2 linked regions of the Arabidopsis thaliana genome follow. The protein of the gene in region 1 interacts with the protein of each later gene in a pairwise test. Each region holds a gene or a part of one and is shown on either strand. Other genes may lie near its edges.

Region 1 (6,013 bases):
GTTTTCAGGTTCAATTTTAAGTGTAAATTGACCATGAGAACACCTTCAAAACGTGACTTGGCAATGGCAGTTACCACAAAGAATCCAAACTTAGTATGGCTTTGATTTACTAGTGAATTATTTTGTATAGTCATATTCAATTATTTAATCGCAATAATATAATCATGAATTTGAACATTTTCATAGATATTTATCTTCAAATGTAGCAAAAAAAAAAGACTATCTAGAATTTATTCCAAGTTATCTAGAATTTTTCAGCTAAGAAAAACTTATACTATGTGACATTCTTGAACCAATCCTAATAGAACTAGTTGTTCATTGTTAGGTTTCGGCAAAGACAATGGGAAAACAATCTAGTGAGATTTGTGTCTTATACAACTCTGACGAATAAAGATACTTGAGACCTTTAATCATTGCGTGAGGTTTTCAATTTTGATACCTACAAATACAGCTAAGTCACTCCTTTATACAATCTTTGATGATCGAAGACTAAACTATCCTGAAGGTTCACTTCATTTGATCACTGATCCACATTTTAGTGTTTGGAACAATTGTGACTTTTAGGTCTAAAGAAGGAAATTTTTGGGTTATAATTTACATGCGTAGAAGAAAATATAACTATCGTGATCTATTAAATTTAAGTCTAATAATAGCTAGTGGTTACACATGTTTAGAATAACACATTAACTTCGTTTCTTGACTAATTTTACCTCAAAACAAAAAAGGTAACAATAATGTTATCCCATGAGAAGAGAAGCAAGAATCTCTCCCATGGTTTTCTCAGGCGTGTCTCCGTTGTCATCTACGTGAACTCCGGACTCTAGAACCGCCGCATCAAGAACTAGTTTCCGCTTCGCTATCTCGTAGATGTTCTCATCAACCGTCGATTTCGTCACCAGTCTGCACCAGCATTGCCAGAGTTAATACAGATATATGTGAGAATACAAAACAGAGCACACATAAACCAATCCAAACCACAATTTTGTTCTGAAAGTTATCTAAACTGATTCAAGGATTTAAAGCTCAAACCTGAAGATAGTGACTGGTTTTGTTTGACCAATACGATGGCAACGATCTTCAGCTTGCCGATCAATCTGTGGATTAAAATCCATATCGTGAATAATGACTGTATCCGCTCCGGTTAAATTAAGACCTTGTCCACCTGCTCGAGTTGACAAGAGACATGCGAATATCGACTTATCGTTGTTGAATGTGTCGACTATGGTTTGTCTATCTGTAACTTGAGTACTGTTGAAAACAAAAGGAAAATGACTTAAGCTTCTTCCTTTTTGTAGAATCGTCAAAAATGTGACAAATTACTCTTTTTTCTTTTATTACCTGCCGTCAAGTCTTCGGTATGTAACGCCGATGACATCAAGTGTCCATTCTAAGATATCGAGCATCGATGTCCATTGACTAAATATTAGAACACGATGGCCGGATTTCTTCATTGAAGGGAGAAGCTCAGCTAATGTCTGATACATAAAGGGAGATTTAGATCGCTCACAGGTTTAGTTATACTTAATCAGTTTCACAAAGAAGACTTATGAAATGAAGAAGAATATCACGTACCCGACATTTTGCTGAGAGCATGACATGTTTGTCTGAGAGAGTTCCTTTGGTATCGTTAACTCCATATTGGAACAAAAGCTATGGAAAGAAACAAGTTAGTTAGCTTCTTCAATTGCATAACATGTTTGTTAATGGATATTCAACTGCTTTTGGAAAGAGAAACATTTACCTGGTGGATACGGAAATCGTTGAAACCCTTAACTTCCTCGATAACTCTATCCAAGGAACATTCAAATCCAAATGCACCGATTGGGTGCAATTTCCTGGCGATGCGAATGACATCCTCATCGCTGTATATCCGCCTAATTAACAATGGATGGTTTGCAATCTGTACAACCAAAATTTAATAACACATGAATAACACACTCATTTGGCACAAAAGGGGCTTTGTATTAGTAGCTGAGAATTACCTTCCGGAATTGAGTAAAATAGTTTGAAATTTGACGCTTTGGAAGTGCCTTGGCTAAAGAATTCAAGGATTTTGATGAAAGCTTCACAAGCCGTGCTTGAGAAGCAGCACGATACTCCTCTATGGCTTCTTTATATGCATCTTCCTGCTTTCTCTCCATTAATACATATTCAACCTGCATTGGATTGATGGGAAATTAATGAGATTTGCAGCTAGAAGATTAATATCGTGTACTTAATTGTGCATAGATATATCCATACCCGCTGTATCTTCGGAACAAGTTGCTGCATGACATCAGATTTTAAACGCCTCAAGATGAAAGGACCTAAGATAGATTTCATTCGAGTAATCAACTCAGTATCTTCTGCATTCAACAACTTCTTCAAGTCAACATTCTCTGTCGTAAATATATCAGGCAACATGAACTCCAACAGCGACCATAGTTCCTGCATAGACCAAACATATGCAGGGAATAAGCATTGTATGACCACATGAAGAAATGTCGTCTATATTAGGTAATTAGATCCTGAAAAAATCAACAGAAACCAACCGTACATGCAAATCATTTTGTAGAGGCGTTCCTGTAAGCATAAGACGCTGGTTTGCGTTTCTGGCCACAGACATCAAGTTTTTCCACCTATAACTATTCTTATCCTTTAACGCATGGGCTTCATCCATCAAAACACAGCTCCAGCGCCACCGTTTCAGTACTTTTCGGTCATCTTTCTGTTGTTCACTGTAAAATTCCAACATCTGTGAGTAACAGGAAAAGCCAAAAAGCAAATAAAAGCATCAAGAGTTGCACCTATGCCGTTCAAACAGAGAGTAACACACAAGAAGCACATTGAATGGTGGTGGCTTCCCAGCTTTTGACAAAGAATTCAATTCTCTTGAGTAGGCTGCTCTCGCAGCTCCGTGGTATTGAAGTACAGTAAACGACGGACACCATTTTCTGAGCTCTCTCTCCCAGTTTTCCAAGACAGAGGCAGGGCATACAACCAAATGAGGACCAGGGTCATTGTTTAAGCGACTTAGGAGGGTTAAATATGTGATTGCCTAAGGTAAATGAGAACAAAATTAGTTCTTTATAAGATAAAGAAACAAAGAAAACTTATCCAGTAATAACAGAGCAAAATGCACCTGAATGGTCTTTCCAAGACCCATCTCATCGGCTAAAATGGCTACAAACAATAGAAAGTGAGTTACAAAGTGACATTCACGCTAAAAAGGTTTACAGATCGAAACTAGTAAAAACACATACCTCCTTCAATTCCTTTCTTATACAACAGAAGAAGAAAGTTAACACCAACTAACTGGTACGGCTTGAGTATAGGCTGAAAATCAGAATCCTCTGCTTTACATGCATCATCAATATCATTCTGCGATCATCACAGATTCAACCCAAAAGTAAACAAGTTTTAGTTAACAAAACAGTAAACTCTAACCAAACCAATCAAAGCTTACCACCAAAATATGCTATCTAATCAAAAGTTACTTCACAATTGTATAAGGAAGACACTCTAAATCGTCTCAAAGCAACTACTTTAAGAACACCAAAGTGATAATTTCCAGTACCTGTGTGACAATCCTGACAGTAGAAGTTTCAACTTCAGAGTATCTATCAGTAACACCAGAAGAAGTACCATAAAGCTCTTTTCGAAGATCCGCTGAGATTTTAGCACACTTTTGCAATGCCTTCCCCACAACATCTTCATCTTCTCCTCTCCTTCCTCCACTTCCTCCTCCTCCTCCTCCAAATTCATCCTCACTAGCACTACTCTCAGCCTCATCATCATCATCATCACTCGCTTCTTCATCTTCAATCACAAATCTCCTACCAACTCTCGCAGCGCGCATCACAACCTTAGTCTCTTCCACTTCTTCTTCATCCTCTAACAACAAATCCTCACCATTCACAATCTTCACATCCGAATCCGAATCTCCCAAATCCTCAATCTCAACACAATCACCATCGCTGCTATTACTCTCAATCGTCATCGCCGTCGAAGGTCTCCTAAACGCAAAAGACTCAATCGACGGCGTTGGATTCGTCGCCGCGCGAGTCTTCTTCGGAGTCCGTGGTCGTTTAAGAACTCGCGAAGCGTTAAACGAGTGTTGAGACCACTCTTCCTCGGAGATTTCGTCGAAATCGCGTTTCATCTTCCGAGAATTTACGAATCCCAGATTGAATTGAAATTGAGAAGAAGGGGAAAAAAAATTCACATGAAGAAAATTGAAAACCCTAGATTGAGATTGAAGTGACTATTATTGCATCGAATTGAAGAAGAAGAAGAAGATGAAATTAAAACGAATTTAGCGGAGAAGGAAGGGAAAGGTCAAGATTTCAAAGAAAGGTTAGAGACTCAACAACGTGTTGCTTCTTACAAAAGAGCGGCATCCTCCAAAAGCTATGCGCGCGGACTTAATCTCTTAATGGGCCCCAAGAAATGGGCTCTAATGAGTACTTAATGGTGAACTTAAGGGATCCGAAGAAATGGGCCCAACGACTTCACTTTCTCGACAAATCTAAAAGCTTGTGGTTTGTTTGACGCACTTGAAAAGGGTTTTTAAATCCATGGGGTTTGCTTGAAGATTTGGTTTTGAAATGATGGTTGAGGTGAGAAATTATTTGGTTGACATGTATTCATAATGTGGAAGAATCTGAGAGTGTGTTTCGTTGGATGGTGGATACTGGATAGGAGTCTTATAAGCTGGATATGTACATTGAGGGGTATGGTAATAGAGCTTTGGCTACGTTTGGAATGTTGCGGTAAAGATAACCTCGTCGTTCTCGATCTTAATCCTCATTCTACAGGTTATTATCATTTGTATATATATGTTTACTAGCTAATCCATTAACTCTGAAAATTAATATTAACTCTCGGAATGGCAGAAACAGAGTTGTTATTGAGTTTCTCTGACCTTGCCATCTTGGTGACGGCAGTTTCAAATACTAAATATTTCCATACAATTTTGGTTCATCTAAAACAACTGGGTCTTGGGCTGTTTGTGGTATATCTCTCCTTATATAGGCTCTTTTGTGTGCGTGACTGTGTGCTATTTCATATTACTAACTTGAAATCATATTACAACCCAATCAGGGAGGCCCTGATTGAATATGGCCCGGCACTGACCCATTGCAGTTGGTACGATCTCAGTATAACTTAAAAAGCATCGATGGTAATGAAGAGAGGATCAAGTTGAGAAGTCACCTGTTACTTAAATATGTTGTCGTTTGTAAACTAAAATAAAACTAAATTGTATAAGATTAAAAAGCCCAAGTGAAAAGGAGAAAATCAAACTTTACGGTCGAATAATAATATATCAATAATATTTTCTCAAAGCTCTTAAAGTGATATTGGAGATTTTGTGATATATCGTTTTAAAATCTATTCAGATCGGTTGAGAGTTGGTTACTCGTTCAGGATTAATTAGGTTTGATTCAAAACCAATCGGTTCGATTGTTTTGCATTGAACATTCTGAAAGGTTGAAGAATTGAACCAAAGAAGAAAAGCAATATATTAATTTTCATACAAGAATCTAACAAATTTTAAAAAATTCTCTATTGATTGGTGTATCATGTGTATTAATATACGATATGTTATATTATAAACGATTTTATTAGATAAAAACAATTAAAAAAAAGTTAGTACAACAAAACCTAATCAAGTTAAATGAAGAGAAAACGAGGGTTTTGTCTTAAAGCTCACCAGAAAGATACGAATGAGAAAAATGTGGTACCCACAACACACCCCCGCATGTGGACACATTTCACCGTTTTAACAGTGACACCCAAACCGTAACCATCCTTCTTAATTCTGTCAAATTAAATTATAAGAAAGAAAAAAAGTAGCTTTATTTTATATTAATCGAAATAAAATAAAATGATAGAGACAGAGAGGGGACCTTAGAGACATACTTTTCAAGATCATTTCATATATGGCTTATTTTTAAAAGAAGAAGAACACAAAACAGTAGAGAGAGAAAGAGATATAGAGATAGAGAGAGATAGGGCTTTGAGGTTTGTGTTT
Region 2 (5,947 bases), on another chromosome or scaffold:
TAAAGGTTTATATTTGCATTTACCCGGTACACTCAAAAATCCCAGCTCTTTGGAAGTTTGCCTCTTTGCTTACATAGTTGTATTTTCGAATTTTGCTAATCTGAGGTCTGTACTTTGCAAGTTGCAGGAGATGGAAAATAAGTTTAGCGTGTAAAGGATGTCAAAATGCAAGGTTCAACAATTGTCTCTCGTCTTTGATGCAATATATGGGTCTTAGAATTGCGAAGTAGGTGTAAATTAGAGGAGGATGGCGTCACATTGGGACTCGAAGTTGAAACTATGTTTCTACACTTGACGGTTCAACATTGTAGGAAACTAAGTAACAAACATTGTTAGATGATTCTAAACCTTAGAGAAGTTTATGAATTTGTGAAGAAATGAACACTTTGGCTTAGTTAAGAGTCTTTCCACCAATAACAAACACTTAACTGTGTCTAATATTCCAAAATCACAGAGCAGCAGTATTTCTTATCTTTCAAATTGGGTTATTCACATTTTGTCAAAGATATCTGTCACAATATCACTCTCATCTCTCATGTGTTTTATTGAAAAAAAATTAAAAAAATTGAACGAAATAATGAAGAAGGTTTGACCTGTCACTTGTCAGAAAGGATAGAACATAAAAGAATGTATAAAATTACAAGATCCCTTTTTATGGACCGAAATTATTACACAATGTAATCAATGTTGAAAAAACAAAGATAGAACCTAAAAATTTGGTTAGGGACGAATCTCATCCCAGTTGGAGTCATTTACAGATGCCAAAGCAAGGAAAAAAAAAGTGTATGTAGGAGAAAAAAAAAAACGAGAAATAAAGACAATTAAACTTTGCAGAAATTGAGTTGTCCATTTATTGTGTTGTTTGCTTCTGTACACCCACCCACCAATGCGTACCTCCTTTTTTACACTGAAACACCTGATTCAAAAGCTCCACCTCTGTTCATGTCTGGATCTTTGGACGCTCCTCTCGCCTGATGTTTTCCTTGGTGCTGCGACCAATACCCGTATGCCCTCAAGACTCTGTCTAGCAGTTCTTGTGGCACCGGCTCTCCTCTTCGTTGCTGTGGGGATATACTTGCTGTGTGAACTAGCGTCTTCCATTTGTCCTGCATATTCACATGTTCTTGAGATATTAACCTGACTGTAAGACGTGATATGTTCCAGATTACATGTTTGTGTCTGATGTGTTTACCTTCAAGTCCACGTAAGTCCGATGATCTGCATCCTCGAAAGCACGCAATTTTACATCACGCCATCTGTGTGATCAGATATATCGACCATTAGCTTTTGAGCTTTGACATTATCCCACGACCAAACTACATGAGTTATGAAAGAACTAGTGTTATATACCTTCCAGTCCCGAGTTCCTCAACTGCTTGTACAAGAGCTTCTACCTCTGTCACAGAGAAGGGTCTCCTAGTTCTCCTCTGGGCTAGCTCAGTACGCTTAGGTTTCTGGTTCAACGGAACTATGGCAAGCGCCTTGACTTCCAACTCTGGAAGTGGGACAAGCTCTTTTGAATCTGATGAAGGTTCATCAACAGATATGTCACCCTGATATGGAACTAATTCGAGGTTACTGTCCACAATATTTCTTGAATCAATCACGTCATCTGCATGTGGAATTCCAGAATCTAGCATAGGAGACGCCGCAGACCTGGGATGATAATTCAGAACCGCTTTTGCTTAGGAATCTTCAAGAAGAATGAACACCAGTGATATTCAACTAAAGCAGCACAAGGATATGATAGCGAATTTCTTAGTACCGTTCAGACAAACTTGTAGGGTCGGTTGGCACAGCAGGATCTTCAGAACACAAAGGTAGGGGAACTTTGCTGGGACTAGGCTCCAAGGTGAACCCAAGGTTGTCTAGATTTTCATCACATGAGATCCCAGTCTGGGACAGAGTTTTCCTTTCATCTCTAACCTTCTTCCCATGCATTAACACCCCAACACGTATTCCTCCGCTGAGTAAAACACTGACAGCCTCCATCACAGTCCTCTGCAACCAAAAGGGTCAAAGAGCAAAATGGTAATTTGTTAACACCTCAATGTCCACACAAGAGAACCAAACAAATGTGAAGAAATACATATTGGCATATACCTTTAGTGATCCTACTGTTGCAGTTTCTGGAACTTCAATAAAAAGCTCTGGAATCCTAAAGGACTTAATGCTTAGCTTTACTGCACCAGAGATAAAAATACATGAGAACCACATTATCCTGTCTCCGGATAAATGTCTCAGTATCATTTACCATCCAGTCAAGTACCATGGGAGCCTTTTGAGAGGACCACAACAGCTAAGATAAGATAACTGAAGAGTTTTGAGATAGACTACAATAACCACCTGTATCTCCCTTCTTGGGTAACTTGGAAACACTTCCACTACTGAGTCCTCCATCAGAAGTTACGACCGAGCTTCTGTCAGGTGATCTTCTTCTCTTATAAATGATCTCACGCTGCCATGCGTTGTAACCATAACATGATTTTCTTTTGCGATAAAGAGTCTTCACACCCACATCTAGACATCCATGTTTAAAGTAAGAACAGGGTGAATCACAAAAAGAAGAAATGTGTTCAAAGATAAGTGAAGCAGGCTGTGTTATACTTACCAGCTCTACTGTATCCAAAATCTTTTGGAACTTGTTTCCAGTATTTGGACGACATGGACTTTCTTATTCTTCGAATTGTTGGAGACCTATACGACTTAAATTTATTGCTAAGTTTATGGTAACTATAGAATTTTTCATCATCATCTTTTCTACCTAGGTTAGTATGGTTCCCATGTCTAGCATAGGAACCATTAGGGGTCATATCCAAGGTGGATGGTGATTTTAAATCACCACCCACACAGACTGATTTCGGAAACTGCAGACCTAACGCAGTTGCATCCTCTAAGTTGCAAGTATCAGTGACTAAGCCTCCATCACCCACGCGATCGGTTGCTTCTCCTTGCTCGAACCCATTATTTACATTCTTGTTTTCACACCCTACATCCATCAAACCATGAATCTTCTTGTAATCAGACATCGGAGTCCGCTCCAAAACGCCGTCACTATCCGGAAATGAAAAACAACTGTTCACCACACACTTCTCAGTAGAGATATCATAAGTAGGCTTTGACACAGAGTTTCCTTGGTCAGAAGACTCAGATTTAATAGTCTTGCAATTTTCTACTTTCTCTTGCTTAATTTCTTCAAATGCATTAGAAGACGCAGAGGAACTCTCGCTTTCCTGTAGAATCTTTCCAGCCAAAGCTAGTAAGTCAATTGCACAGATCTGAGTGTTATCATCATCATGATCAATCCTCTTGTTTAGAACCTTCCTCTGGAAAAAAAGATTCATCAGAAGGCAAATTCATGACATTGAGCTAACAGATCCAGATGAATCAAAATTTACCCTGCATGAACGAGGAGCTCTGGGAATGTTGGGAAAATCAAATCCCACGGAAAGGCAATCTAACTTTCTCTTGAACACCATCTCTCAAATATGCATATCACTAGCAACACAAAAACAAAACAGAACAGAACAGAACACTGTAAAGAATCAGAAAGTAGCAACAAGAATCATAAACAGTAAACACCAATTTAGATCAGATCAACACGACCAAATCCGAGCCTTTGATGTAAGAAAGACACTGAAACAAGAAATGGATCACGCAAATGGAAAAGCGTTGGTAAAATTGAACAAGACTCAAATGCTAGAAGCTGCTTACAAATTCAATTATAAGATTCGAGACAAGATGAAAAGAAACAGTAACCTGATCAGATCTCGAACAAATTATTTCGACCCGCCAAAGAAATTTAATGGAAATTTGAAAACCGGATCAGAGTCAAAGGATCAAAAACCACCCAAAACCCCAAGAATTTTACAGATCGGTAAGTGAACAAGTCAATTGCGATGAAAAAACTCACCTATCAGCCACCAGTTTCTTGATCACGATCGCGAACCACTTATTATTACAGATCACGCTATCTTAAAACCCAAATTCCCCCATACCCGATTTGTGTGTTTTATGTATATATAAAACAATGTACAAAGGAAAAATTAGAATCGATTTATACAAAAACTCGAGATTCTAAGATTTAAAAGAAATGAAGAATTCTCGAGTTATTTTTTTTTTGTGTGTGTTGCGGTAAGAATCCGTCGTTGTCTTTAGAAAAGAAAGAAGGAAGATGACGTGAAAAGCCCCATTGAAACAGAAACCCCTTTTTTTATAATCATTCTTGTAAATTAAAATAAATTAAAAAAGTTTTTATTGACCACACAAATAACAACGGGTTTGAGATGAGGCAGTTGTTGTAAACCGGTAAACCGGCTATTGACGGTCACCCTTGTAAATTTATGGTAAAACACTAAAACCCCTCTCTCCGGTTAACAGGCTATTGATGGTAACCCTCTCTCTCCGGGAATCATCAGTTCATAACCCCTTAAAGAAGATAGGTTTGTCAGAAGAATCTTTATTTTAGGGATCGGATAAAAACAATACAACAGTGCTGTTTGTGATTGGAGTGGGGTCCTTTTTAATATACTAGTACTACAAAAGCTGTCTTTATCTTCCACGTGGGTAGAGAAAGCCTGTGACAACTCCATTGCTTTGGTAATAACGTCGTCACAAGGTTTTTTAAGTGTTCATTCAACTTGAGTGATAACATGAATTTCTTGATGAGATTACATGTTGAAGCATGTGCTAATGGGGCCAAAATGAACGTGTTATGTGTTTTAAGGTATTTTGTGAATGACAATGTTCGCGCCAATCTTATGGCTATTTTAGTGGGACTAAACTACTAAAGCATATGCTTGGCTAATTAATGTAATGAGAATCGAAATGGGTTGAATCAAACATAAATTTATGGCCGGCTGTTGAATCGAATTGTTTGTTTAATTATGTCCGTCTTGGACTTCTGAGAGTGTCTGTCTACTTCTGTGGCTGGCCTTGGAGACTTGGACCCTTGTAAATTATAACCATTCATGAATATGGGCCGCATGACGATTAGTAAATGGGTCGGATCGGACCATTCTATTGGAAGAGGTACAAGGAAAATGATCAGGCATACTACATACATTCTCCACAAACATGGACTAATCATTCTATGTTCCTTCTCTAATAAAGCTTTCACTGAATTCATGATTAGTATGTAAACCATCGTTGATTACAGTTTTATAATAATTAGACGTTATATATTGGGAGAATGTATGCATGCATGAAATATTTCAAAAATTCATATATAGATCTTGTTGTATCCTAGCTCGTTTCACTTTTAGTTTGTAGTTTGTACTAAACAAATACTGAAATACACATGCATTTCTTTCGCTTTATATAAAAACATATACACATGCTGCATGCACTTCAATCATATTGAAATCTCTAATTGGTACATTTTCGTACGATTTGTTGATATACTGGATTCATAGGTAGGTAAGTGGATTTATTTAAAAAGGCCAAATTTAGAAGAAAAAGAAAAGAAAAGAGAATTAGAAGGCAAGATATATATATATATATATATATCTTGCGCGGTTGCATGGTTAAGCATCAAGGCACAAAGGGACAACAACGACATTCTATAAAGAAAAAAGACGAAGCATCAAAAGGGGTCTACGGAAATTCAACATGGAGTATGGAGCTTAAAGATTTTTTCAATAAACCCATATAGTTTTATTATGCTTTTGTATGTTAGAACCTTGAAAACGTGTGGTGCCAAATAAGGAGAATAGTTTTATAACAGTATTTCTTACTTTAATGTTTATTTAATAAATTTAATTCTGAGTTACTTTGCTAAATTTTTTATTTTATCGAATTTTAAGATGAGCGTGTTAATATAGTTATACAAGTTTTTTCCCTTTCTATTCATTTATGTGACTTTTGTATTCATGAAATTTTTAAGATAGAACTACAATTTGAACGTATTAAGTAAGTGTCACAAGCTATAAAAGTTTGCTTGTGGATT

Evidence for each region. The genes of interacting proteins can lie anywhere in the genome.
Region 2: the proteins of ETL1 (region 1) and TRFL9 interact in a protein complementation assay, tested with the Arabidopsis thaliana proteins (one study listed by BioGRID).

The regions. Positions count from the first base shown.
Region 1 is NC_003071.7:521,609-527,621, reverse strand, and holds ETL1 (SNF2 domain-containing protein / helicase domain-containing protein), read right to left. Parts: upstream 4,400-6,013; 5' UTR 4,142-4,399; coding exon 3,557-4,141; intron 3,361-3,556; coding exon 3,243-3,360; intron 3,163-3,242; coding exon 3,122-3,162; intron 3,038-3,121; coding exon 2,787-3,037; intron 2,718-2,786; coding exon 2,537-2,717; intron 2,428-2,536; coding exon 2,242-2,427; intron 2,157-2,241; coding exon 1,983-2,156; intron 1,901-1,982; coding exon 1,742-1,900; intron 1,651-1,741; coding exon 1,573-1,650; intron 1,476-1,572; coding exon 1,339-1,475; intron 1,249-1,338; coding exon 1,030-1,248; intron 901-1,029; coding exon 738-900; 3' UTR 554-737; downstream 1-553. UniProt on the Arabidopsis thaliana protein: DNA helicase that possesses intrinsic ATP-dependent nucleosome-remodeling activity and is both required for DNA repair and heterochromatin organization.
Region 2 is NC_003074.8:3,981,370-3,987,316, forward strand, and holds TRFL9 (TRF-like 9), read right to left. Parts: upstream 4,257-5,947; 5' UTR 3,914-4,256; intron 3,536-3,913; exon of another isoform or gene 3,499-3,535; 5' UTR 3,480-3,498; coding exon 3,399-3,479; intron 3,327-3,398; coding exon 2,612-3,326; intron 2,521-2,611; coding exon 2,347-2,520; intron 2,184-2,346; coding exon 2,104-2,183; intron 2,002-2,103; coding exon 1,766-2,001; intron 1,657-1,765; coding exon 1,351-1,656; intron 1,257-1,350; coding exon 1,193-1,256; intron 1,107-1,192; coding exon 903-1,106; 3' UTR 511-902; downstream 1-510. Other genes in the region: FDM3 (XH/XS domain-containing protein), read left to right, coding at 1-3. UniProt on the Arabidopsis thaliana protein: Binds specifically to the plant telomeric double-stranded DNA sequences. At least 2 repeats of telomeric sequences are required for binding. Induces DNA bending.